7 linked regions of the Coturnix japonica genome follow. The main gene of each other region encodes a partner of the protein of the gene in region 4 in a complex. Links are inferred from orthologs where the notes say so. Each region holds a gene or a part of one and is shown on either strand. Other genes may lie near its edges. The genes, in order: INTS11, INTS4, BRAT1, INTS9, INTS12, INTS6 and INTS7.

The links.
Region 1: the proteins of INTS9 (region 4) and INTS11 are in contact, whole or in part, in a cryo-EM structure (PDB 8RC4), measured with the Homo sapiens proteins. The link is inferred for Coturnix japonica from reciprocal best matches to the Homo sapiens genes INTS9 and INTS11. Residues at the interface, in NP_060720.2 of Homo sapiens: Glu127, Gly198, Tyr199, Ser200, Gln201, Lys202, Tyr231, Glu338, Phe339, Ile342, Phe343, Glu345, Gln352, Lys354, Val355, Tyr356, Leu357, Pro358, Glu359, Pro360, Pro361, Arg511, Arg512, Tyr513, Glu514, Lys515, Ile516, Glu517, Ile518, Met519; in NP_060341.2 of Homo sapiens: His94, Gln97, Ala98, His137, Leu138, His139, Gln140, Thr141, Lys274, His277, Tyr278, Lys280, Leu281, Phe282, Ile283, Pro284, Trp285, Arg291, Phe294, Ser449, Pro450, Ser451, Ile452, Pro453, Val454, Gly455, Ile456, Ser457, Leu458, Leu461.
Region 2: the proteins of INTS9 (region 4) and INTS4 are in contact, whole or in part, in a cryo-EM structure (PDB 8RC4), measured with the Homo sapiens proteins. The link is inferred for Coturnix japonica from reciprocal best matches to the Homo sapiens genes INTS9 and INTS4. Residues at the interface, in NP_060720.2 of Homo sapiens: Lys2, Tyr4, Lys18, Ser21, Thr22, Leu43, Val44, Gln45, Glu87, Glu89, Leu90, Asp92, Asp97, Thr122, Glu145, Arg146, Val147, Pro148, Lys159, Glu174, Ser176, Thr177, Ser192, Gln195, Phe206, Gly207, Ile379, His380, Ser384, Asn385; in NP_291025.3 of Homo sapiens: Leu53, Gln54, Leu57, Gln58, Arg61, Lys62, Pro86, Ser87, Leu90, Lys91, Ser94, Gln125, Gln129, Asp132, His164, Gln207, Asp208, Pro209, Arg210, Arg212, Asp244, Tyr245, Glu246, Gln247, Trp296, Phe837, Gly840, Leu841, Val842, Val843.
Region 3: the proteins of INTS9 (region 4) and BRAT1 are in contact, whole or in part, in a cryo-EM structure (PDB 8UIB), measured with the Homo sapiens proteins. The link is inferred for Coturnix japonica from reciprocal best matches to the Homo sapiens genes INTS9 and BRAT1. Residues at the interface, in NP_060720.2 of Homo sapiens: Gly276, Met277, Gly279, Glu280, Cys282, Ser283, Asn284, Ala286, Leu287, Arg290, Asn291, Tyr315, Asp317, Ser318, Ala319, Gly320, Ser483, His484; in NP_689956.2 of Homo sapiens: Ala406, Pro407, Cys416, Pro460, Gln506, Lys507, Arg508, Cys510, His511, Pro512, Arg517, Glu545, Leu549, Gln552, Asp556, Pro557.
Region 5: INTS9 (region 4) and INTS12 share a complex: the UniProt entries of both Homo sapiens proteins name them as parts of the integrator complex. The link is inferred for Coturnix japonica from reciprocal best matches to the Homo sapiens genes INTS9 and INTS12.
Region 6: INTS9 (region 4) and INTS6 share a complex: the UniProt entries of both Homo sapiens proteins name them as parts of the integrator complex. The link is inferred for Coturnix japonica from reciprocal best matches to the Homo sapiens genes INTS9 and INTS6.
Region 7: INTS9 (region 4) and INTS7 share a complex: the UniProt entries of both Homo sapiens proteins name them as parts of the integrator complex. The link is inferred for Coturnix japonica from reciprocal best matches to the Homo sapiens genes INTS9 and INTS7.

Annotation. Positions count from the first base shown.
Region 1 is NC_029536.1:1,973,238-1,977,223, forward strand, and holds the start of INTS11 (integrator complex subunit 11), read left to right. Parts: upstream 1-1,186; 5' UTR 1,187-1,276; coding exon 1,277-1,304; intron 1,305-1,385; coding exon 1,386-1,483; intron 1,484-1,959; coding exon 1,960-2,033; intron 2,034-2,204; coding exon 2,205-2,433; intron 2,434-2,536; coding exon 2,537-2,635; intron 2,636-2,733; coding exon 2,734-2,768; intron 2,769-3,379; coding exon 3,380-3,518; intron 3,519-3,646; coding exon 3,647-3,711; intron 3,712-3,986. Other genes in the region: CPTP (ceramide-1-phosphate transfer protein), read right to left, coding at 1-482, 1,023-1,144.
Region 2 is NC_029516.1:172,682,346-172,685,845, forward strand, and holds part of INTS4 (integrator complex subunit 4), read left to right. Parts: intron 1-445; coding exon 446-552; intron 553-1,056; coding exon 1,057-1,242; intron 1,243-3,125; coding exon 3,126-3,176; intron 3,177-3,500. UniProt on the Homo sapiens protein: Component of the integrator complex, a multiprotein complex that terminates RNA polymerase II (Pol II) transcription in the promoter-proximal region of genes.
Region 3 is NC_029529.1:3,415,861-3,418,725, reverse strand, and holds part of BRAT1 (BRCA1-associated ATM activator 1), read right to left. Parts: coding exon 2,857-2,865; intron 1,728-2,856; coding exon 1,636-1,727; intron 1,377-1,635; coding exon 1,258-1,376; intron 876-1,257; coding exon 689-875; intron 500-688; coding exon 426-499; intron 17-425; coding exon 1-16. UniProt on the Homo sapiens protein: Component of a multiprotein complex required for the assembly of the RNA endonuclease module of the integrator complex.
Region 4 is NC_029518.1:96,768,344-96,771,843, reverse strand, and holds part of INTS9 (integrator complex subunit 9), read left to right. Parts: intron 1-1,056; coding exon 1,057-1,181; intron 1,182-2,465; coding exon 2,466-2,633; intron 2,634-3,392; coding exon of another isoform or gene 3,393-3,500. UniProt on the Homo sapiens protein: Component of the integrator complex, a multiprotein complex that terminates RNA polymerase II (Pol II) transcription in the promoter-proximal region of genes.
Region 5 is NC_029519.1:34,243,709-34,247,880, reverse strand, and holds the start of INTS12 (integrator complex subunit 12), read right to left. Parts: upstream 2,801-4,172; 5' UTR 2,716-2,800; coding exon 2,589-2,715; intron 1,292-2,588; exon of another isoform or gene 1,175-1,291; intron 178-1,174; exon of another isoform or gene 73-177; intron 1-72. UniProt on the Homo sapiens protein: Component of the integrator complex, a multiprotein complex that terminates RNA polymerase II (Pol II) transcription in the promoter-proximal region of genes.
Region 6 is NC_029516.1:152,154,715-152,158,214, reverse strand, and holds part of INTS6 (integrator complex subunit 6), read left to right. Parts: intron 1-2,657; coding exon 2,658-2,841; intron 2,842-3,500. UniProt on the Homo sapiens protein: Component of the integrator complex, a multiprotein complex that terminates RNA polymerase II (Pol II) transcription in the promoter-proximal region of genes.
Region 7 is NC_029518.1:19,455,774-19,459,273, reverse strand, and holds part of INTS7 (integrator complex subunit 7), read right to left. Parts: intron 3,227-3,500; coding exon 3,180-3,226; intron 3,022-3,179; coding exon 2,822-3,021; intron 1,874-2,821; coding exon 1,751-1,873; intron 1,332-1,750; coding exon 1,214-1,331; intron 290-1,213; coding exon 155-289; intron 1-154. UniProt on the Homo sapiens protein: Component of the integrator complex, a multiprotein complex that terminates RNA polymerase II (Pol II) transcription in the promoter-proximal region of genes.

The sequences.
Region 1 (3,986 bases), on a different chromosome or scaffold from region 4:
CAGTGATGCCGTACACATCTCGGATATGGGGCAGAGCATCACCCAGCATCTCCACAGCCTCCTCGGGGCCGCCTACATTCATCACCTCTAGGAAGGCATCGCGGGATGGCAGGGTACAAAAGGCCAAGGTAGCGGCCTTACGGACGATCCAGGGATGGTAAGCGGCCAACGAGGCGTTGTAGCTGTCCGTGCAGATGGTGGAAGTGCTGGCGTCCTGCTGGGCGGTGCGAAGCCCTTCGAGGAAGAGCTGCAACCAATGCAATGCCCGGTGCAGCCGTAGGACGGTCCTACAGCCTGAATTGGGGTGGGCTGAGCGCTGTTCCAAGTCGACCAGCCCTCCGTTGAGCTCATAGCGCACCATAGATTGCATTGTACGGTATTCCTCCTTCTTCTCCCCGCCGCAATAACTCTCCATAATCTGGATTTTAGTCACCGCGTCCTTAGAGATGAACGAGAAGATGGCGCCCAGCCCGTTGAGGAAGCTGAAAAGGGGATAAACGGAGCGGTATAACACAAAGCAGCATCCTCGAGGGGCAACCTCCCCTCCCATCACAGAATCACAGAATTGTAGGGGTTGGAAGGGACCTCTAGAGATCATCGAGTCCAACCCCCCTGCTAAAGCAGGTTCCCTACAGCAGGTCACACAGGAAAGTGTCCAGGCAGATCTTGAATATCTCCAGAGAAGGAGACTCCACCACCTCTCTGTGCAGCCTGTTCCAGTGCTCCGTCACCCTCACCGTAAAGAAGTTCTTATTAAGGAACTTCTATGCTGTATTTCATCCCATTACCCCTAGTCCTATCCCTACACACTACTAAAAAGAGACCAGCCTCACCACTATGTCCCCCACCCCTCAGGTATTTATAAACCTGGATCTAATCCCCTCTCAGCCTTCTTTTCTCAAGGCTAAACAGACCCAGTTCCCAAAGTCTCTCCTCACAGGGGAGATCTTAGCCATCTTAGTGGCTCCTCTTTCCAAGAGATCCCTGTCTTTTTTTTGTACTGGGGAGCCCAGAAAACTCACCGTACGAGCCCCCTCCATCCGCGGAGATACGGGCCGAGCAGCACCTCGCGCTGCTCCGTCACGCAGCTCTGGAAGGCGGCCATCACCTCCCTCAGGCTGAACGCTCCCTGCGCCGCCGCCATCTTGTCGGCGGGAGGCGCCTCCCATGCGCTAAAGGGAAGGGCGGGATCTACCTCAGAGTGACGAGCCGTTGCAATATGGCCGTTAAAGGAACGGCTGCTCCCTTCCGAGCTTTGAGTTGAAAGAGGTTTAAAATGCCTGAAATCAAGGTGACACCGCTCGGTAAGTGGTGGATCGGAGCGTTGTGGAGCCTCAGAAAGGGGCTGGGTCGCCTCACTATGGTGTTCTATTGGGTTCCTGTAGGTGCCGGGCAGGATGTGGGGCGAAGCTGTATCCTGGTGTCCATCGCGGGGAAGAATGTGATGCTGGACTGTGGGATGCATATGGGATACAACGATGATGTGAGTGTGACACACGGTTGGGTTGTTCTCTCATAGAATCCCCAGCTGTTCCTGCACCTCTCTCTCTATGGAGAACTTCCCCTTAGCATCCGATATAAAGCTTCCCTCCTCAAGCTTAAAGCCATTCCTCCTGCCTTATCGCTATCTACCCAAGCAAAAAGTTGATTCTTCTCCTTTTTATAATCCCCTTTTAAACGTTGAAGGCCTCTCCTTGCATCTTTCTCTAGGCTGAACAAGCCCTGCTCCCTCAGCCTGTCTTTATAGGGCAGCTCATCCTTTTGACTCTTTATGTAGGTGTCCATTGCGTTGCCTGTAGTTCTTGCTGTGTTGCTCCCACAGTCTCCCCAGTTTTGCCTTGAGATGGGTTTACAGTGTCCAGTGTAGCAGGTGGTTCGTGCTGCTGGTCCATATAGTTAATGACATGGTACTAAGTAGCTTTGTTTGAGGTTGTTAACCCGTTTTCCACCTCTTTGCAGAGACGCTTTCCTGACTTTTCCTACATTACTCAGAATGGGAGGCTGACTGACTTTCTAGACTGTGTGATCATCAGGTAAGAAAGCTTCCTTCCTGATCACAACAGAGATGGGAAATCAAAGCAAGTTTTGTTTCTAAAGGGAAAAGTTCTATTTTGTGGAGTGCTTTGAAGAGGTGAATCAAGCTGTGAGAACCAGGTTATCTAAGCTGCTGTGTAATGTCTTCATCCTTTCTGTCTCTTTCGCAGCCACTTCCATCTGGACCATTGTGGAGCCCTCCCCTATTTCAGTGAGATGGTCGGCTACGATGGGCCCATTTATATGACGCATCCTACCAAGGCCATCTGTCCCATCCTCCTGGAGGACTACAGGAAAATAACTGTAGATAAAAAAGGAGAAACAAACTTCTTCACGTCCCAAATGATTAAAGACTGTATGAAAAAGGTGGTGGCTGTGCATCTTCACCAGACAGTTCAGGTAAATGAATGCTTCTGCTTGGATGGGAGCTACTGAACTGTTGAGGAAGGCAGAGCAGTTTTCTGTTTGTGAAGTGCTTACCATGGTGTTTGCTTGTGTTCAGGTGGATGAAGAGCTGGAGATCAAGGCATACTATGCAGGCCACGTGCTGGGAGCAGCCATGTTCCAAATCAAGGTTGGATGTGAGTCAGTTGTGTACACTGTAAGTATGCACAGCAGTAGTTACATATGCTTATGTTTCCTTCTAATAGCCTGTTCCATTAGCTTGAGAAAATAAACGGATTTCCCTTCCTCCCTTAGGGTGATTATAACATGACACCAGACAGACATTTAGGGTAAGTAGGAAGGCTGGGCTCCTCTGAATTGTATCTATTTCAAGCAGGGTGATTTTACCACAGCTTCTGCTCATATACCAAGGCTTACCAGCATTGGTTCTTTGTTCTTTGATGGGAGACTGGGATGCTTAATGATGTCTTTCCAGCAAAGATAAATGCAAGTGTGAATTTTGAGGAGGATCAGAGGTAAATCGAGTCCTCAGAACAGACCTTAACATAATCTTCTCTGTACTCATATTAATCCATTTGTATGGCTGCGTGGTAATTGGATTTAGGTGTTTGAAATGCTTCATTGTTGTGGTATCTTCCACAAGCATTTGCTTTTTAAGAGAGTGCCAGTCACCACCTTTAACGCTGCTTTACTTTTTTACTGGCATATATGAGAGGTTTTTAATGTTTGTGATGCTTACAAAGCATTGAAGAAAGTATTTTAAACAAATAACAGACTGAAAAGCTGCTTTTCAAAGTCCACTGAGTTGGTCTCTATTCTGAGCTGGGTTAATTCCTACCTCCACACAGAGATAGTGACCTTCTGCAGCCGAGACCTGCAGAGAAGTGATGGATACTGGCTCTTAATTTGATGACTTTAAAAAGAAATCCTTTTGTTTCAGTGCTGCCTGGATTGATAAGTGTCGCCCCGATTTATTAATAACAGAATCTACCTATGCCACAACTATCAGAGACTCCAAACGCTGCAGAGAAAGAGACTTCCTGAAGAAAGTGCATGAGACTGTAGAACGAGGAGGGAAGGTACGGCACTCTGATGATCACTGATGTGTTCTTTGCTCTCTACGAAGCTCTTATTCAGCAGTGGTAATGCTGCAGTGCTCTCTATGTGCTGTTCAGGTTTCACAGCCTAAATCATGGCTCTGTTGCAGGTTCTTATCCCAGTTTTTGCCCTTGGTCGTGCCCAGGAGCTTTGCATTTTATTGGAAACGTTCTGGTGAGTGCAGTCTCTGGTTCATGTTCCTCATCCTCTTCATGTCCTCAAGGTTTCTATGATTCTTTTCTATCTGTTTGGTACAAATACTCTCCTTAGTTTTGCTCTGCACTTTGGCCCATGGTGCTATGTGAGAAGTGATTCTTTCCATGTATCGTTTATTTATCAGCGTTTCTAAATCTAAGAAACTAAACTAAACATGTTCCTTTCTAGGATCATTCTCTCCTCCTTCCCCAAGCACTCAGTACCAGCTGTCCATTAAATAGTTCAATGGCATC
Region 2 (3,500 bases), on a different chromosome or scaffold from region 4:
AGCAGCTCATCAGGGCCTTCATTTAAGTACATTTTTCTGTGTTATATTCACTGCTTGTATGTGCTTGATGAAGTTTAGTTTTATTTTAGTATCATTTAGTGTCAGGTGAATGTAAGGTTAAGTTGTTGAGTGTGCAGTGAAAGCTCTCAACAGGGGCTTGAGGAAAATGGTTATTCCATTTAGTCAATGCTAGAGAGCCCACACCTGGAATACTGTCTCAAGTTTTCACTCCCCAGTGCCAGAGAAATGCTGATAAGGTTGGCTGAGTTAAGCAGAGGGCCACCAAGGTGGCTGTAGTATGTTATCTGCAAGGAGAAGCCAGGGGAGCTGGGCTTCTTCTGACTTCTGAAGGAGAAGGCTCTAGGAGGACCTTCCAACCGGAGTGATGCTGTGGTTCTGGAGCTTAGCAAAGAAGTGCATAACCTTTCCCTGCTTTGTTTTGCAGAATCTCACCAAGTCCTTGCTCAGCTGTTGGATACGCTGCTGGTGATTGGCACAAAGCTCACAGAGAACCCATCTGTCAGGATGAGGCTGGTAGAGGTAGCTTGCAAGGTAAGGCTGCCTCCCTGAGGATGTAAATACTGCTGAAGGGCAAAGCTCTGCTCTTGCGTGCTGCATTTGGATTCAGTCTGTTTTGGGGGAGAGCTCAATGTACTAAATTTTAAGCAAGACCAACTTAAAACCAAATGTGATGTGAGCACAGCTCTGAATGCAGCTAACAAGTCTGCAAACAACACTGGATTCACTGCTCTTTCAGTTACTGCCTCTTGCTTCATATGCTTTTGGATACATGTCTGCTTTTTTGTAGCTGTTATTTAGAAACACTATTCCCTGTTAAGAAGTTACTGATGGAAAGCATTAATGTTAAGCAAAAGTATTTATAATCTGTTCAAATACTCATCTCTGCCAGAGGAAAGAATATGTTATCAATATTCCTTAATGTTTTTTTTTTTTACTAAAATATAAACATTTTGTAACTGCTGGGAATTTTACTCTGATCAGCTGTTTACAGAGACAAAAGAGCATTTAAAATAAATCTATTTTTGTGTCCCGTAGCATCTGACAGATTCTTCCCATGGTGTAAGAAATAAGTGTCTTCAGTTAATTGGCTGCCTTGGACCAGTGGAAAAAGGTGTTGCGAAAGAAGCTGAAAGCCAGGCTGCCAAAGATGTCCAGAAGATAATAGGAGATCATTTTAACGACCAGGATCCTCGTGTTAGGACAGCAGCTATAAAAGCCATGGTAAGGAGTGCTGGTGTGGTGGAAGAAATTGTCTGGGGGGGATTGATAAGAAAGCTGGTAAGGATCTGCAAATGAATCCAGAGAGGTTTGGACAGGAGTTATTTAATTAACTCACCAAGTGCCAGTTTAACGTATCAAAATTACCTGGAAAAATGAGATATGTTATGAAATAGAAGAACTTTATGAAATCTCAGAGGGTATTTTAGTGGTTCACAATGATATATTAGGGGTAGTATCGTTAGGTTGCGGTTGGGCTTTGACGATCCTGATGGTCTTTTCCAACCAGAGCAATTCAGTGGTTCCATGAGACCTGCTTCTGCTGTAGGGGAAGAAGCTTTTTCATTTGGGATATCGTGGTATTGTTATAGGTAAAGCTCTTTCTTTTAGTGAGAAGTCTGTATTTCCTGATTCAGGATTGGCTGCCACAATAATAAGCCCCTATTACTCCAGCATGTAATAGAACACTGCTTGTGACAGGAAACCTTGTGAGTTTAAACCTGAAAACTTGTGGTTTTTTTTAAAACAATGTTTTGGTTACTGATTTTCATGTGGGATTGAGCAAATTCAGAACTCTTTTAGCTTTGCAGCAGTAAAAGCATAGACTGTGCAGTGAGAACTTTGCTCAGTGGGGATTCCTGTGACTGTGTGGGTTTGCAGCACTTCCTTTGCTAACCCTTAAGGTTTATAGTGTTACTCTATCTTAACCTGATGGTGAACAGAGGGAGGTTGTGATGAGGAGGGTTTCGCCTCTTCTCCCAAGCAACAAACAGGACCCGAGGAAATGGCTGCAAGTTGTGCCAGAGGATATTTAGAAACATAAGGAGAAACTTCTCTCAGAGAGTGGTCAGGCACTGAAATGGCTGCCCAGGGAGGTGGTGGAGTTGCCATCCCTGGCAGTGTTCAAGAGGTGTCTGGATGAGGAGCTATGAGATCTGGTTTAATGGCTTGTGATAGCAACGGTAATGGGAGGATGGTTGGACTCGATGATCTTGTGGGTCCTTTCCAACCTTGTGATTCTATGAAAGACATTTGAATTAATACTGTTAAACTGTGAAGAAGGAAACAAGATGCATTTGGGAGGATCAGACTGCATGTGGATCTGCCTGGGCTCTCCGTCTGCTGAAGGTTACTCTCATCCTTCATTTTCGTTCTATTTTCTTTCTTTTTTTCATAGGACTTTTTACACCTTGCCATGACTTCTGCAATACTATTGAATCAAATCCATATCAAGATTGATGCCCTTCAATTTAATAGTTTCAGTACAGTGTCAGTTGTTTTGCTTTAGTCTGGAGCTTGGAAGCATCCTGAATGAATTCAGGGTCCCTGATTGTTCCTAGGGTTCTTAATCGCAGTTTTCCTTGCTACTATGTCACATGTTGTGTTAGGATACACTGTTTAGTAGGGCAGGTTTTGCTGTTCCTCTGGCCTTTAAAATGCACTGTCACTGCTGCTTTTGGGTCACTAATGACACAAGAGAAGAGGCCAACCCCCAGCTCACTACAACCTCCCTTCAGGAAGTTATAGAGAGCTATAAGGTCTCCCTGAGCCTCCTCTTCTCCAGGCTGAACAATCCCAGCTCCTTCAGCCTCTCCTCATAAGGCCTGTGTTCCAGACCCCTCACCAGCTTTGTTGCCCTCCTCTGAACCAGGGTCTCAATGTCTTTCTTGCAGTGAGGGGCCCAAAACTGGACACAGTAGTTGAGGTGCGGCCGCACCAGTGCTGAGTACAGGGATTGAGAAACAGCTGAATTACAGTAACAGTTGGTTAATGCAAGCAATTAATTTTATGCAAAGCAGTGATGAAAACTTAGTGTGTGTTATTTAAAACCATAGTTTGATTTCATTGTCGTTCCTTTCTTATGTTGTTCTTGTTTTCGCCCTTAGCTTCAGCTTCACGAGAGAGGACTGAAACTGCAGCAGGCCATTTATGGTCAGGTAAAACCTCATCTTTGTTTCTATTTATTTTGTATTGGTTTGCGTGCTTTGCTTTTCAGGATTCTGGGGCATTGTGCTTCTAGAGGTGGAAGTCGCTGAACAGAGGGAGGGCATTGCATAATTCTTATTGTCATCTTGCATTTTCAGAGTTAAATCCTTGTACATTGGAGGGTATATGTGATATGTGAGAGGGAATGGACATAAGTTGTGCCAGGGGAGGCTCAGGTTGTGTATTAGGAGGTATCTTTTCTCTGACAGAGTATTCAGGCACTGGCACAGCTGGCCAGGGAGGTGGTGGAGTCACCACCCCTGGAGATATTCAAG
Region 3 (2,865 bases), on a different chromosome or scaffold from region 4:
ATGATTTCTTCAGAACCTGAAGAAATACAAAGCAGATGTACTTTACTGCAGGAGAAGGTGCTGCTGTCTTTATGCTAGATACATTTCTTTTTTGGACTCAAAATTACAGTGAAATTGTCAGAAGAAATTAGAGCGCAGTCGAGTTGATTATATTGGTTCTACAGTTAGACATGGTGGCTCCTGTATTTTCAAGAGCATTTGATTTATTGGTCAACTACTTGCTCACTGGCATTGTAGCTATTTCCTGCAAGTCACTCAAAAGAAGCCTTCTAGATATTCTAATACTATACATGCTAATACATGTATATTAGTATAGCATGCATAGTAATACATGCTAAGGAACAGCTGTTGTCAGACCATTTCTCAGAACTGTATCCCACTGGGCAAGCTAATAAATTTGGAGCCTTCTTTAGTTCTATACTCACAGTAGGAGAAGTATTTGGACTCTCCAGGTATGCCAGAAGGACGTCAAATAAACTTTCCACAACTGTGTCGCTGCCTGAAACATTTAAAAACAAAGCAAAACAAAAACTCGTGAACCAATATTAAGGAAAAGAGATTAATTCAGCTGTTCTAATATGGAATGAAAAGGCTTATCATACTGTTTTATAGAAGCAAGCAAAGCACGGTGCTCAAATACAGAATAGTCATTTCCAAAATTAAAATGTAAGTGCAAAGTTTAACTCACATTTCTGTTCAGAAAGTGCTGCAAGGGCATCCAGAGCTGACTTCTGTACTCGGAAGCAACCTACCAAGATTTGGCTAATCTTGCTTCCCAGAGGAGAAGCTGGAACCAGGAGGCCATTACAGAACTGTAATATTGTCAAGACAGAATGCAGCAAAGATGCATAGGGTAAACTCACGGGCAACAAAGCCTAATGGGAGGGAAAAAAACACGCTTTCATCAAATGTTTCAAGCATACAAACAGAGCAAGAGTTTCTGGTAGACACAGCAAAAGCTGCAATTTCTACTGTCTTTATGGTAACATAATGCTAGTAACTACAAACAAGTAATCTTCCTCTCATCCAATGAACTATTGCATAAATGGAAGGAGATGCTTTTCACTAATTGGGAAAGCAACTCAATTTATGTTTTTCACTGGATCAAGACTTGCAGTGGATATAATGTATGACAACTAAGCCTGTGAAGGTAGGTGTCAAACCAAGTATGGTCCCTCCTTACAAGATTTCATATTCCTTTGTTATCCTACTGGGAATATATCCTACTGGATTTTCTAACTAACAGAACTCACTCACCACAGAGAGAAGCTCCTCCAGATGAGCAAGTGTCTGACACAGAAGACTAGCACAAGATGACTTGGAGGACAGAAGGCTTTCAACAGCAGAGGGATCACTAACCGACTCATCCAGCAAACCTAGGGGATCAAAGGGAGAAGCTCAGGTTGTTAGCAATTACAAAGGACAGTGATCTCCAAACTTGGTTTTTAAGCTATTATTTTGAAGTGATGCAGTATGAAGATCCCTTAAGATGCAACTGTCAGAAGGATGCTGTGCTTTACCACAAACTTTGCTCCTGTGCTTGGCTTTTTCTGTCTTTCTCCAGTTTTGTCTGATCCAGGTACTTAAAACATTGGCAAACCGACTAGCCTCTAAACTTTTCTATTGCAATAGTACCTGCATATTCCAGAGGCTTGGAGGCTGCTCTCAAAATACAGTCCATTGGTTGAAGGAGAACAGTCAGTGCTTTAATCCTCACAACTTGTGGGCTTCAAGGAAGAAACAGCAATTACCAAAACAAGCAAACTTCAACTCTTCCCAAACATCTTTCCCCAAATGCTGAGCACACGAGTGATTTTTACACAGGCTTGTAAAAAAAAGCCAGCAATAGGATAGAAATGAAATTACTGTCACAAGTCAAGCGTTCTTCTGATTCTTCCTGGCTAACTGAAAGAGAGAAACGGTTCTGGAATTGATAAGCAGCCTCATTCAGCAGTGAAGAGTGAAAACCTGTGTAAGAAGAGAGTTTAGATAGACATTTACTGGAAAAAAAGAAAAAAAAAGGCAGTAAGACACACATGTTCATCAGTCTGAAAGTATCTATATGTGCTAGAATCATTTAACATGTGATGATGTCCCCATGCTTTTTCCACCATCTAAAGGGAGAAGATGCCAGTGGATTTCTCTGAGGTGCACATGATGAGGCAACATCTTAAACTGCAACAAGGCAGAGTCCAACTTGGATACACAGAAAATACTTCTTACAGTGAGACTGGTAAAGAACTACTAGAACTGGTTGCCTAGAGAAGCTGTGGAATCCCCATCCTTTGGGATACTTGAAACTGATCAGTGAAGGCCCTGAGCAACCCAATCCATCTCTTAATGGAGCCCTGCAATGCGTAAGAAGTCAAATTAGATCACTTATACTGCTTCCTTCTAAGTTAAGTTTTCCTACTGTTGACAGAGATGCACGATGTATGTATGATGCATACTCCTGCTGGACAGCAGTTAAAGTTACACACTTGTCAGTGTTTATGTGAAAGAGAAAACTCACCAAATACTTCTGTATTTGAAAGTCATAATATCCATCTTACTCAACCTTGGCCATAAAAAGTTAAAGGAGCTTTGTATTTCTGTCTGAGATAGCTGTCTGTAGGTAAAATGCTAAAGTATATGTGTGAACATGACACTGGCTCTTTTCAATTCTGCCTTTGAAACAATTATTCTAATAGCAGTGTCTGAAGTGTGTTAGTTATTTGCATGGTCCCACCAATCAGTCCACTGTATTAAGCAACATAGTGGAAAATGCTGTGTGGCAAATAAAACAACTCTCAGAAACACAACAGAGACATTGGGAGCATTTGCAGAGTGAATAAGTTTCATAGCAGTAACTCCTACCATTGGTGG
Region 4 (3,500 bases):
AAAATGTCCTCTGGTTTGATCCTATTTGACTACTGATCATTCTTCAACTAGCTACTCGCTCAGTATTCTAATTATTCATTGCTATTTATTGCCTCTTTTTGCATTACTGTTTCTGGGCTTTGATTCAATGGCACTGGCACATGTGCTTTTAACTAGCATGGCTTCTTGCCCAGTGTGAGTTTTGTTTCATGTTTGGCAATTCATGACTTTTGAAGCATCCAACAAGATATTCTTATACAAGTATCATTTTTTGTTAATATTTCTCACTTAGATATTCCCAGGCAGCTACACTGACACTTGCTTTAGACTCAGTTAAATTGCCCCCTTGACAGTTCCTAACGTGTGTATCATTAGCTGATATTATTTTCTGTTCTCACAAGATAACCACATCATGACCAATGACTGATACTTAGATGTATCAGATTTTTAGGCTAGCAATTAGCTTTACCAGTCCAATGAGCTCCAGCACGGAGTGTTGAATACCATGATGGAAGCTCTACTTCCATCAGTAAAATGTTAAGGTCGTTATTTTTTGCTGTCTGCATGACAAATTTGGTCAGCCCTTCTCTCATTGCCACCCTGCCCCAACCAGGCTACACAGAGCAGGGTGCCCAGCACCATGACCAGGGGCTTTGGAAGATCCCCAAGTGCACAGCCCCTCTGGTTCCTGTGCACTGTGCACCCTGCCACAGTGAAAAACAAGCTGACATTTGTGATACCAAAACCTGGACATCTTGCCTTCTTTTACAAGATCTGATTAAAAATAAGAGATAATGGTTTTGCCTTGATTAAATTTGTTATAAAAGTCATGCAGTAATGTGTTCAGATGAAATAGTATTGCTCTGTAGCTTGATTAAGGTAAGTCTAATTGAGGGGTTAATTTTCATCAGATTAACTGAAAATACCAGGTGGGGGAAGGAAGGAGGGAAAAGAAATCTATAGCAGAATTAACTTTACTATAAGATCGCTTGTCTAGACTGGAATGTGGAATGAGAGAGGAGCTGGACCACCTTTATTCTCAGTAGCATTCTGTATTTTCAACATTTCTCTTTTCAGAACCAGATTTCTCCTATCTGGATGCTCTGGCTCCTTATCAGCCCTTGGCCATGAAATGTGTTTACTGCCCCATTGACACAAGACTGAATTTTATTCAGGTGTCTAAATTGCTCAAAGAAGTCCAGGTAATGAATTCTTGTTGCCTTTTCTTGTGTTTCTTCACACATTTGTCTGAAATAAATAAGTTGATTGTGACTTATATTAAATAATGGCAAAATAAGATAACACACACATTCTTTCTCTGTAAGAGAGACACAGAATGACACTTTCCTGTTATTCTTTCCCCTGCTTGTTTAAATTAGTGTCTCTGTGTCTGATACAGTCTTAATGTAAGATGTACCAAGTGTAGATCATCCTCTGTGCCCTCAGCTTTAACCATCTCCCCCACGCCTGTAACTGAATCCTGCACTTGATCCTTGCCTTGATTCTGGCGTCACTGCTTTGGAGTCCCACTCACATATTACTTGCAAGTTGACAGCTTTCCTCGTTCCATTTGCACAGTCTTTCCTTTTTTGTCTAGGAAGAAAGGCTGAGCTTTCAGGCTTTTCTTTTTTTCTTTGTGGCTTCTCCTTATCCATCCTATTTATTTCTACTGAAATTTGGTTTCTGACTCGTGGCAGCATTAAATTAACACCCCATATTTTTTTCTGGCTGAGCTTTTCCCTTGGATTTGTCTTCAGCTCATCATATGCAGAAATGCATGTTCTTCCAAACCTCTTAACAATGTCTGGATCATCTTATCTGCTCATTCTGTGACCTGGCTTGTCACTGCACAACTGGTGGAAATTACATTGCCTGTTTTTCTTCCTCCATGTAACTACTGAAATATGCTGTTTCCAAAGCATCTGGCAGAAACTCTGTCATATCCTGTGGCTTCCTTAAATCCTGTGGCGATCCCCGTGGTAATCAGCTTGTTTATGCTTTGTTAATGCATTGCTGACAGGTCGTGAAAACTCAGAGTTGCCTATTTTGCTAATGTTTTTGCAGTCTTGTGTTTTGACACGTTTGCCTCAGTGCCATTTTGTGATGGTCTGCACCACTGCTGTATTTGCTTCCAATTTAGATGACAAGCGTTTGGATGAGAATGCTATTGAGCATTTTGATTTATTTCTCTCCTTATGGCAGCTAACATGACTGCTGATATTGATGTAGTGATTACAGATATAAATTTAGGCCTTGTTACTGTGGGCATCGTCTGTATACAAAGCAAATACTGCTTGTTCCTTGGACAGTCGGTTTCAATCCTGATTGAATCTTCTGGATTTCATCTTTTTGATGTTGTTTTCATACAGTTAAGTTAGCGTGCTAACGTCAATCCACAGACCTCCTTATGGCAACCATTACCAATGTAGGGCAGTGTGCAGAATCAACCAGGCATTTCTGTAAGTCATCATAGTCCTCTTTTCCAGCCTCTCCATGTAGTTTGCCCGGAGCAGTACACTCAGCCACCACCCTCCCAGTCTCACCGGACAGATTTGATGATAGACTGTCAGCCTCCACCAATGTCCTACCGCAGAGCTGAGGTCCTGACTCTTCCCTATAAGCGACGCTACGAGAAGATCGAAATCATGCCAGAAGTAAGTAACAAAAGGTGGGGAAAAGATGTGGCTTCTGCTCATACTTCGAGCAGCATTGCAGTAGCCAATTTGACTAGACATATCCTGCATCTGTGACTTGCTGTTGATTATGAACACACATCAGTTTTTGTCAAATAGAGTGTTAAGAAAGCATTTTTGAAGGGAATTTCATTCTGTAAATCAAGAATTGGAGAAAAGAGGAATGTGATGGGCAAGTAAAAGGTGTCTTCAGGTTAATTGTCCTCTGCAAGGACACATCATGTCCTTGCAGAAGAAAGAGTAATCTGCAGAAGAAAGAGTAATCTCTGCTGGCCAGCTGTGAAGAAAACCAGTCAGTGCCACCTTAAATGTGAATATGCAGAGGCACTGCAGTTTGAAATAGTAGTACAGAGCTATGGAAGGGATTGAGAGAGATTGGAAGTTATTAGCCAGGACTTGTCTCTCTCCTTCCCCAGCTGTACCTGCTATGAGAAATACCCTTTCCCTTCAGGAGCAGTATTCAGCGGAATGTTAAAGACACTGCAGTAAAACGGCTCATTTGTGTTAGAACAATTTCAATAAATGGTTAATTCCTATGGACTCCTGAAGTCCGACAGGTAATGAGTTGCTTGTAGCCATCTATAATGTGGACTGTTTATGGCTGCACCATTCATTAATAATTTATTAAGCCCATACATTTTATACAAATGTGCTCGTAATACAAAGAGTGATCCATATTCTAGCAGATATGATATTAAATATATTTTTTTAACAATGCAGTCAGCACAAAGGCGTCCTTGGATCAAAGCTGACAGTGGCATTTACCAAGAAGGTGTTACTGCCCTCTGGATATTGAATATACAAGCGTGCTTTTCATCAGAGAGCCAG
Region 5 (4,172 bases), on a different chromosome or scaffold from region 4:
TCCATTCCCTAACAACTGTGACAGTGGAAGATTTCAAGTATTTACCAATACTGCCCATTCCAGATGACTCACATTTAATGCAGGTCTTGATGAAACAGATCAAGGAAAGCAGGAAAAGCTTCTATTTTCAGTTTTTACTTTCGTATCATACTGAGGATTTGATTCATGACAACAATTTCACAGTTATCGCCTGTGAGGAATATTTCAAAACTCAGGCACTTTAGCAGTCCCGACAACTGTATTAATCAGAACAACTGTATTCATCAGTTCTTATTTATGTGACAACTTGATGTGAAATTCAAAGAATTCCAGGAGACCTGAGTAAATTCTTCCATTATAATTACTAACGTGACTATCCATAACTTTATATTCTATCCTACAACATATTTTATACCATAATTTCCAATCAATAATTCAATCTATCACAGTAACTTGCTTATCTAACATTTCTACATTACCCTATCACCTTCTATTTTCTGCTTTCTATCACTCATAAACAACATAGTATCCAACAACCAGAATACCATGGTTTTGGCTGGGATATAGTTAATTTTCTTCACGGTGACTCACCACGTCCTGTGTTTTTGATTATTTTCAAAATGGAAATAGTACTGACAAGTGATGCTTTAGCTGTTGATGAGCAGTGCTGTGCAGAGCTGAGGACATCTCAGCTCCTGATGCTGCCCTGCCTGGAGGGGGCTGGAGGAGTACAGGGAGCTGTGAGGGGACAGAACCAGGACTGCTGGCCCAGACCAGCCAGAGGGATGGCTCGTACCATATGGTATCCTGCTCAGCAATGAAAACTGGGAGACAAGAAGAGGAAGAGCAGATGACATTCTGAGAGATGGAGTTTGCCTTCCCAAGAAACTGTTATGTGTGATGACCTCTGCTTTCCTGGAAGTGACTGAACATCTGCTGCCCAGGAAGGCTGTGGATGCCCCTGTCCCTGCAGGTGTTCAAGGCCAGGTTGGATGGCCCTGGACAACCTGATCTAGTAAATGTGTATGTTTGGTGGCCCTGCCAGGCAGGGGGGTTGGAACTACATGATCCTTGAGGTCCCTTCCAACCCAGGCCATTCTGTGATTCTGTGATCTGCCTGCCAATGGGAAGTAGCAAAGGAATTTCTTGTTGTTTGCACATGCAGATTTTGCTTTACCGAGTAAACCATACTAACCATAAAAGAGAAGTTCTCATACTTCTAAGTTTCTTATTTTCTCCCCCATCCAACATGCAGAGAGCAAACAAGTGGCTACGTGGTGCTGAGCTGCCTGCTGCATTACACCACAATACACTGGCATTTTGTTTCTAAGAGACCTCCTGCTCAAAGCAAAAAGAAAAAAATCAGCTATGAATTCAGACAAGATTTCCGAGGACACCATCCAGATGGACCTTCAAAACATACACAGACAGGGATCTCACTGTCTCCTTTCACTTCTTTATTCCAAATTGGATCCTCCCTTTTCAGATTGTGCTTTCACATAAAAGGAAATACAGGCTTCATTTTATCAATAATCTCCTGTTAGATACAGAAAGGCGTCTATTTAGGACACAGCAAGACCCTCCTCAGATGATATTCTCCACTCCTCCCCTCAACTTCAGAGCTAGTTATTTTGCCATAAAGGATAATCCAGTTGACCAGACATGACTGACCCTTGGTAGATTCCCAAGCTGGTTATCCCCAGTCAACACGTGCTCCTGCCCATGCTGTGCTGGCTCCCTTCATAACCTTCCCATGGATGCAAGGAGGGAGGCTAACCAGTCTGCACTTCCCTGGATAGTCCTTCCTGCCTCTTTTGAGGAGGGATATGTAAGACATGTAGTCTGCCTTTTTCTAGCCCCCAGTGATTTCTCCCAGCCTCATGACTTCTCATAGACAAAAGCAAGGGGCTTCACAATGGTACACCAGAACACAGTCCATCCAGGTCAATGGATTACCAGGCAATCAACCCATGCTTCAGCCCTCTTCTGCATCTTCTCCTTGTTGCAGAAACAGAGGGCTCACTGATGAGCTCTGAGGGAAACTAATTGTCTTAGAATCAGTGGAAACAGTTATTTTCCTTCACAGTACCTGATATGATGCTATGTTTTAGCTTTAGAGGGAGCTGGAAGGGGACAGAACCAGAACAGCCGACCTCAAATGACCCAAATGGATATTCCACAGCAGGCAAGTTTGAAAAAGGTGGGAGTTCTTCAGGCTTGCTGCTGCTGCTTGGAAACTAGCACAGCATCGATTGGTACGTGGTGAGCAATTTGTTTGTGCATTGCTTGTTTTTTTACATACATATATATATACACACACAGTCTTATATACGTACTTATAGTTGTAACTATTATCCTTTTATCTTTCCTCCCCCTCACCTCACCCCCAGCCCACCTCCTCCTCACACCACAGCTGCCTGTTTAACTGAGCCCTGTTCCCGTTGTACCACATATTAACTCACACCGGGGCCACCCGCCGGCCCCACTCAGACAGCGGGTACGGCCGCTTCCAGCTCCGCCGTGGGAGGACACACAGGCGCCCACAACGCCCACCCTCAGGGCCGGGGACGACACCGCGACACCCCCCGAAGCTCCCGCCACGCTCTCACCTGAGGAGAGACGGTAATACCCGCCGCTCAGAGCCCTCAGCCGGTACACAGCCCCCGTTCCGGCTCGCTCCGCGGGCGGGAGGGCGGAGCGCTGCGCGGCTGGGGCGGAGCCGGGCGGGACGCGCATGGGCACACGGTAAGAGGCGGAGCCGGGGAGGAAGCGGCCGGGACGTATCGTGCGCGGGGTCGGGTAAGTGGTGAGGAGCGACCGAGGGAGGGAGAAATGGATCTCGATCGATCAGCGCTGGTGGAGACCGGGCGCTGTTTATCGGCCCGCGCGGCGGTGGGCGGGGCGGGAGGTGTGTGAGGGAGAGCGCGGGATCGGCGGCCTTGGGGGTTCGCCCCTCGGTGCTGCTTCCTCACACGGGCTCACACCGAAGGCAAACCGTGTTATTTATCTTTAAGTGATGTTGCAAAACCTGTGGTGTTCATTATTTATGTTCAGCTGATTTCTCCCTTCCCTTCTTTTAGCAGTGGTTACTATTAATAAGGCCAGTGTAGGATAGAAACCCTCACAGAATGCAGGCTAAGCAGAGAAGGACGAGTGCCAGGAAAGGTGTTGTGATTAAATGGGTGCACAATGTTTTTGTTAGTTCCATTCTTTATTATCACAGAACAGCAGCGTTTGGAGGAGACCTCAAGAGACCATCAAGTCCAACCCTCTGCTAAGTAGGTTCCCTACAATAAACTGCACAGATTGGTGTCCAGACAGGTCTTGAATATCTCTGTGGAAGGAAACAAGCTGTCAGGAGGAAATTTTTAAAGCAAAATATGGAAGAGGAGTGTGATGTGGCAGTGTGAGAGTACAGCTCTCTGAAGTGAGAGAAGGCCATGAGTATATTCTCACAAGAAATAATTTAAGGAAACACAAGTCATCTATAGACTGGTCCCAGATAGCTTTATTTTGCTTTATGTCCTGTGGGAGGCTAATATTAATACAGTTGAGCCAAATCTTGCTGCACTGACTGGATTTCAGAAGCAGGTGGTGTGTCATTTGTTCACTGTCTGTCTGAGAATGGAGAAGACAATTTCCTAGATAAGTGTTTGGAGTAGTCAGTGAATGATCTTTTTGTGACAAAGAGGTTTGTGATGTCTAGTAAGAGATTAGTATTTCTTATGTGTTTACTCCATGTGTTGCGAGCTCTGCGGTTGTGGTGAAACCAAGTCTAGACTTGACTTATTCAGGTTGCCATTTGGCTTTTGAAATTACATAGCTGTGAACAAAGTTAACTTAATTGCTACTTTTTGGCCATCTGAAATATCTTATGTGGAAAAAAAAAAAAAGTATATTGTGTAGCTGGAGAAAAAGCAGCAAGTTAAATGGGGCTTTAAGGAATGGATAGATGGAAGAAGAGGGTGGCTATTGTCATTTATACCTAGGACTGATCTGGCAAAGTGGAAGGAAAAACAAATCAGGCTGATAAAATGTTTGCGAGTCCAGCTGTGAGTCTGGGAATAGAATAAGTGATAAAATCCCCATGGTATATGCTCAGGACTAAACAGGGGCAAAAAAAATCCTGGCATTTCTTTCTGGAGGCAGCTCATCTTCTAAGTTAGAAAAAGAAACACAGTAATATGACAGGA
Region 6 (3,500 bases), on a different chromosome or scaffold from region 4:
ATTTTGTGGTTTTCTGTTTGAACTGCAAATGATTGCACAGAAAATGATGTGAAACCAATGCTGTCGTTTCTTAAGGATCTGAAGTAGTGATTCTGGGGGACTCTTATCAGCTGGGCTTGAACCCTGCTGTTCATCCTGCTGTCCTCTAGTGGTGAAATGCTGCATATGCTTGGAATGTTACAAATTACTTTTCATGGATACAAGAAAAAGCTTTAGGAAATAATAGAGTTGTTACAAATAAGGCTTGAGATAAAAACAAAGCTATCTCCCAGTACTGAGCTATGAGGTTATGAGGGCACTTGTGTGTCATTCAACATAGACAACGTTGAAGACCACTGTTGGTGAACAACTTATTTTTCACTTGTTCATTTTATCTTTCTCTCAATGACCAATATGAAAGATAAAACAAGAAAAGATGTGAAGTGCATGGGGAAAGAAAATGCAGGTTACAGGTTTCTAGACCCATCTTATTTTGTTAGGTATGCAGTTGTTGTGCTGCTACGGTAAATACTTGAGGGTTTTGTTTGTTTAAAAACAACAACAAAACCTATGAACAGTGCTGAGTGTGAGAAGACAGTTGTTAATGTTTGCAGAGTATGAGGTCTGGTTTGAATCTACAACTTCTCCAGTAACGTGAATGTTAAATTTAACTGAAATTAGACTGTAGGGAAGAGAGTGAGGACATGCGATTTAATACTGATGGCTTTGCATGTGGTCTTGGATTTTTATAAACATTTCTGGTAGTAATTTGTGCATGTTGCAGTGCTCTGCTGCTGAGACCTGCTTTGTTTTTTGGGTTTGTTCACTATAACCAGCTGAGCTGCATGAAGATTTTGTAGTTTGAGATGCACCGAACTCAGAATAGCACTGGGGCAGGGTCAGGTGGGAACCTTGTAATATGTGCTGCCTGGTGAGTTACAGTGCTGCTCTGAAGAGATGTTTTGCCAAGGAAATGTGCTGTCTAGAACCACTAAATCTTATTCATCTGTTGGCTGAGATCTGTGTTGGAAAGCTTGTCAGCTCTTAAGTAGCAGTCCCAATAGATGATATTATGGTACTTACAATTGAATCCTGTTACAGTTGGGATTGGAAACTATTTATGAAGAACTATTCTTTTAGCTTTAGGTTCCCTTTGTTGAGCAGGTGTTGGGTTACGTTTGCATAAAAAGGGGAAAGGCATGTATGAACCAGTAATGAACCACATATGTAGCCAAGTGCCCTTCGAGCAACTTCCCATAAAATATTAGGGGAAAATAGCGCTCTTCTGTCATGCTGTCTGCTTGTGAGCAAAAACAGATACAGGATAAATCATCAGGTGCTCTGAGAAGGCAATGTTCTGATTCCTGCTGACATGTTAAGTGGCTTTGTCCCATTTACCCAAGGGTACTGGTTAGGCTGTGGTTCTTCAAGGTCTTTTCCAACTTGGGTAATTCTATGATTCTATGATTTGTACCTGGCTCTGAGGTTGCATAAACAACAAGGCTACAATACTTGAATAAAACAAAGGTTTTATCTGTACTGATGGTGGTAATATCTACCAGGGATTAGTCTCATTTTTCTGAAACCTGTAATTACTTGTTATAAGCCTAGTCTATCTGTATAAGTTCTCTAGAATTGAACATTCTTTAAACTTTACGACTTCTTGCTCCACTTGTTTGTTCATAAAGCAACGGTATTCAAAAATATGTGTGTTACAAATGCTTTTTAAAGCATTGATTTCTTGTTTCAGTTAACTAGTTCTAAATGCGCAGGATTTTGAGATGTTCTGATGGTCTTTATGGCTGTTGCTTGTTAATTAATAATTTTGCTGTGTCAATAGTACGCTGTATTTAAAGTTGGGAACTTTTGAATCGCTACTGTTTCATCTGGTACCTAAAGCAAAGTGAAATATCCCCACGTGTTCTGTGTCTGTGGGTGATTTCTTTAATATTAGAAACTAAAAAACATTTAGTTTTTCCCAGATAGAGGCAATATAATTGCATGGCAGACAGTTCTTGTATTAGATAGCTGTAGCTACTGTTATTTATTATGTATAGGTAAGAATACAGTTTACATTTCAGTATTGATTTCAACCTGTTGTTTACTTAGAGCACAGAGAAGGTACGAGTATGATTGAGGGATATGCCCAACCTAGCTAAAATCAATCCTTTCTGATGCTGTAGCATAACCACCACATTGATTTACTTGAAGTTGTTATTTGGAGCAGATAGTCATGGTAGCTGGATTGTTTTGAGCAGCAATACCCAAGTTATGTTTCTTCTCTAGTAGGCTTAAATTAAAAATACCTTTTTATTTTGGTGTGCCTTTTAACTTGAAGAATCCACCAGGAGTTTGAGCTGACAATAAGCTTATTCTGCAGAAAATTAGTTCTTATAGGTAAAATTCTAGGGAAGGTATTTGATCGATTCTTAAGTTCATATTCAGAAGGTGGTGGTTCCCACTCAGTTTGTGGTTCTCAAGTTTGTGCCTCATGTTGTCCTTAAATTTCTTTGAAGTGCTGATTAAATTAAGTTTCACTTGTAAAGAAGCAAAAGAGAATCATAAATATCTGTGGAAAGATTCTGTGTGTGTTTATAAGTGGTTATAGATTTGCTATCACTACGTAACTTGATTTATTTCTTCTAAGTAGCTACTCACGGATTTAAATTCCTTTTCAGCTCCACTTACCTCTCAATTCCCCTCTGCCTGGAAGCGAGTTGACCAAGGAACCCTTTCGATGGGATCAGAGGCTGTTTGCTTTAGTTCTTCGTTTGCCTGGTGTTTCATCACCAGAATCAGAGCAGATGGCAGGTGTACCAGTGGATGACTCTGCAATCACACCAATGTGTGAAGTCACAGGAGGTAGGTGCCCTTGACTTCCTTTGACAAATCAATGATTTTGAAAATGAACTGAATATGGATTTGTTAATCAGGTATGTGGGGTGGACTAAGTATTCGTGAACTCTTACTGAAAACTCAGAACTTGATTATAATAAATTTAATGACCCTGCATTAATGCTTCACGTGTAACTTATCTTGGAAGAATTCAATTATATTTCCTTTAGCAGTTTATTGGCAGAACTCTTTAATTTTTTTTTCTAATCCATCTCAGTTTCACAATGAGAAATTGTAGCAGTTGAGTCTGTGGTGTAGTTATGACAAATAACTAAAGTTATGGAAAGTTATGGTCTCTTCTCCCAGGCAACAAATGGGACCTGCGGAAATGGCCACAAGTTGTACCAGAGGAGGTTTAGATTAGACATAAGGAAAAATTTTTTCTCTCTGAGAGTGGTCAGGCACTGGAATGGCTGCCCAGGGAGGTGGTGGAGTTGCCATCCCTGGCAGTGTTCAAGAGGTGTCTGGATAGGGGAGGTAGGAGATATGGTTTAATGGCTTGTGGTAGCAATGGTAATGGGAGGATGGTTGGATGATCTTGTAGGTCCTTTCCAACCTTGTGATTCTGTAATCCTATGAAACTTCTGTCGTGTTTTAATCAAAGCAAACCAAAAGTATGGGAAATG
Region 7 (3,500 bases), about 77 Mb from region 4:
TTCCACAAAACATTTGCAGAGATTATATAGTCCCCATAACCAGCATGAAGGACCAGAATCACAGAAAACTTCATGGACAAGACCAGTCAATGTATGTTAAGTGCATAAGCCTGACTGCAAATAAACTTATTTCATTGTCCTTGCTCTCATTTACCTTTTTCCTGACAAGACGCTGATATATTTGTCAGAATTCTCACACCATGAGCTGCAATGCCACGGTTATTATGGTAACAGCACTCCTGTGCTAATTTTACTAAATCAAATGATCTTGCAGTTGTAGTCGCTGTTCCTAAACAAAGACAAGGTAAACCAGACATATAACAGCACAAAGTTTAATTAGACTATGAAATTTTCAAGTATATTCCCGTACTAAAGCTATATTGATTTGTGGTGCTCAGTTTCTTAAAATTACTTATTTTACTTCATATGTTTTTATCCTACCATTTTAACATATATTCCTACACACCTGCTAACACTGAGACTCTCTCCTCTTTCCTAAATGCAACTTAGACATCTAAGAAAAGAAAAGAGTATCAACCTTTAGACCTGCATGTTTCAGGAACTTTGAGATCTTTAGACTTATCCCAAAGATTTTAATGACTGAAAAAAAAAAAAAGAACTATCAAGCATATTAAGACATGCCAGAATAACTGATGAAAACACACTGTTTCTCCTCTTTTCTGCAGCCAGTGTTGTTGGGCTCATTATACTCATTAAGACATAGTGCCTTTCAAGAAGACATAACAGACAGTATCATTTCCATTTTCAGAATGAGATACCTTTAATCATTTCAGAATGCCTGCTTCTTCTCAACTACAAAGCCTCTATGCTTCACTGCTCCCTTCATTCAAACTAAAACACTACACAAATGCGTGGTCTCAAAGTGCCTTAAGCAGAACACAGGCTGACCATTTAAAAAGGCAAACTGTTTCTTTAGTTTATGTCAAGAAGTTGAAAATCCAAAGGTAAACAAAACTTTCACAGAGCTTATTAGCCACAAGATCTGTAACAGAATCTTAACCAGTGACTGTTCATTGGTGCATGCTCTCTCATTTCAAGTTCAGATACAATAAACACAGTTTGACCCTCAACTAGCACCCTGAAGTTCAGTAATACTTTCAGAATATGCAACAATGTTTACTATAAACTATTCTGGAGTAAACAGCTAATTACCAAAAATGCCCAGAATTATCATCTAATCTGGTTTTCTTACCTGGAGCACTGCTGAAGTACTGTTTAATGGCAATGGTCCCTGATAATGTGGAAAGAACTGACAGCATCCCCAGCTTCAAACTGTCATACGGTGTGTGAAGAGCAGATTCACACAGTGCCTACAAGAGAAGGGAGAAGATACAAATGGAAGGAAGTTCCATGAACTATCTGTATTAAAGGTCTAGTTGCACCTGTTTGTAAGAAGGAAGGGCCTATGACCAAAACAGGCAAAACTGAAATCAAACCAGAACTTGCTCATCTGGCAAGCATCTAGAAAACATCTTGCACGTATCCTAACAAACTGCTCTAAGTATCAGTAGCACCAGGTTCTAAAGCCAACAGCACATGCTTTTCCTCAGTTACATTACTTCAATTGTTCATTTATATTTGGCTACTTTGCTTGGTAGATTATGCCTAATTTAAGGACACACAGAGGCACATATTCTTGCTTCCTTCCCTCACAAATTGTTCTCTTGGAAGGAATTCCACAACTAATTGCAAAGCTTCATAACAAACTTTTGCCTAAAAATGTATTAACCTGAATATTTTCTCTACTCCATGTATGTGGCATCTTGTTAGCCAACAGCTTTAAATCTTGGATTGCAAGCCTCTTCACAGCCTTTCTGGGGTCATTCTTCAAGTACTGCAACAAAAGCTGGACCTGTAACAAGATAAATTCATCATTTAAGGGGACGAGATTGTACTATAAAGATATTATATAAATATTCAAGAATATTCATGAAGGAATTTTGAAAATACTCATATGAAACTGCCATGTGTTTCCTGCCTGCTTGCTTCCCACATGGCAAAGACTGCACTGCAGTTCCTTGGCAAGTGGAATCAATCTAACAGCTGCTTTCTGCCATCCTTCACTCCTGTCTCTTCAAGCACACCTCTCTGCCACCTCCCCACATGCCCCGAGAAGCCCTAAGTGCTATTCCTGCTCTCATAGAAACACTGGTAAAAACATTCCCAAGGACCTCAGACAACACTTTGCATTGTCACGATTACACTAGTAGCAAGTATTTCAGGCATTTCTGCATGATCTGCAGTCAACAGAGAGCAGCACAGATATACACTCTGTCTCAGAAAAAAATAATAAGAAATCCACACACCCTGGCTATCTGATTTATATGTACAACATAGGCGGCTGTGTTGCAGAAATACAGCCTGTAAGCCCATGCTTACTTTCATAAAGAGCATGTGAAGTGCTTGAATGTTGTCTCAGCTAGCTCAAATTCAGTACTATTCCTGAAAGTCAGCCATCCCAAGAAGTTTTAAACAAATCAATGCAGTAAGTCAAATAGACACCAGCCTGCCACAAATGTATGGATTAAAAGGTCAATAGATTTTTATGACTTTACTATAATTAGTTGAACCTCAAATGTCACTGTGCATTCATACTTGCTATATGAATCATAATCACAAAGCCCATTATCTAAACATAAAAGCATTATATTTTGCTCATCAATGCTTTCTCACGACTTGGTTTAAAAACATAAGCTGTAGCAATAGACTCAGTCTTTCAAGATAAAGATCACAGTTTATCCTCAATAATCCCTGTTTTGTTTTAAACATGCTTTGTAGATTCATTTGAAAGAAGAATTACCTGTTTAGGAATGTCAACCAAAGAAGAAGCAGCAAGCAGAGTGAACGTGTGCAGAGTAACAATGACCATCTTGGTGGAAGGATATGATGTTACCAACTGCTGAAGCAGCTGCCGGGAGCTGGAGGCCAGGCTAGCATCATGATGCATGTGCTGTAGAATAGGGATCAACTTCAATTTCAAGTCCACAGGTGTGGCTAAACCTGTAACAGGGAACAGAGACACTGTCAGGCTATTGTACTGGCTTTTTCTGGTACTAAGACACACATTATTTGGGGTAAGGGCAATGGTATAGAGGTATTTTATATACTTATGTATAAAAAAGAAGCCCTGGATATCATCACTCAGTATTTGTACATACCTTGAATCATCTCACTGATTTTGTTACATATTCCTGCAGCAAAGTCCCTGTAGAGAAAAAGACAAAGCACCAAGTGAAATGAAAGCAAACAGGCTAAAAAAAAAAAATCAACAGAAGAACCAAACAATGAATTTTAATAATAAAAACCACCACAAGAATGCTTGCCAAAACTTAGTTATTTTAGAATCCCTACACAGGTGCATAATCAAATAATAAAATGGAAGCTTTCAAATAAGTTTCATAGGTTTTTTTAGACTCGAATTCAGACTTCCTTACACTTATTATCATGACATATAACAGCTGTGAAGGATGTTCTACCAC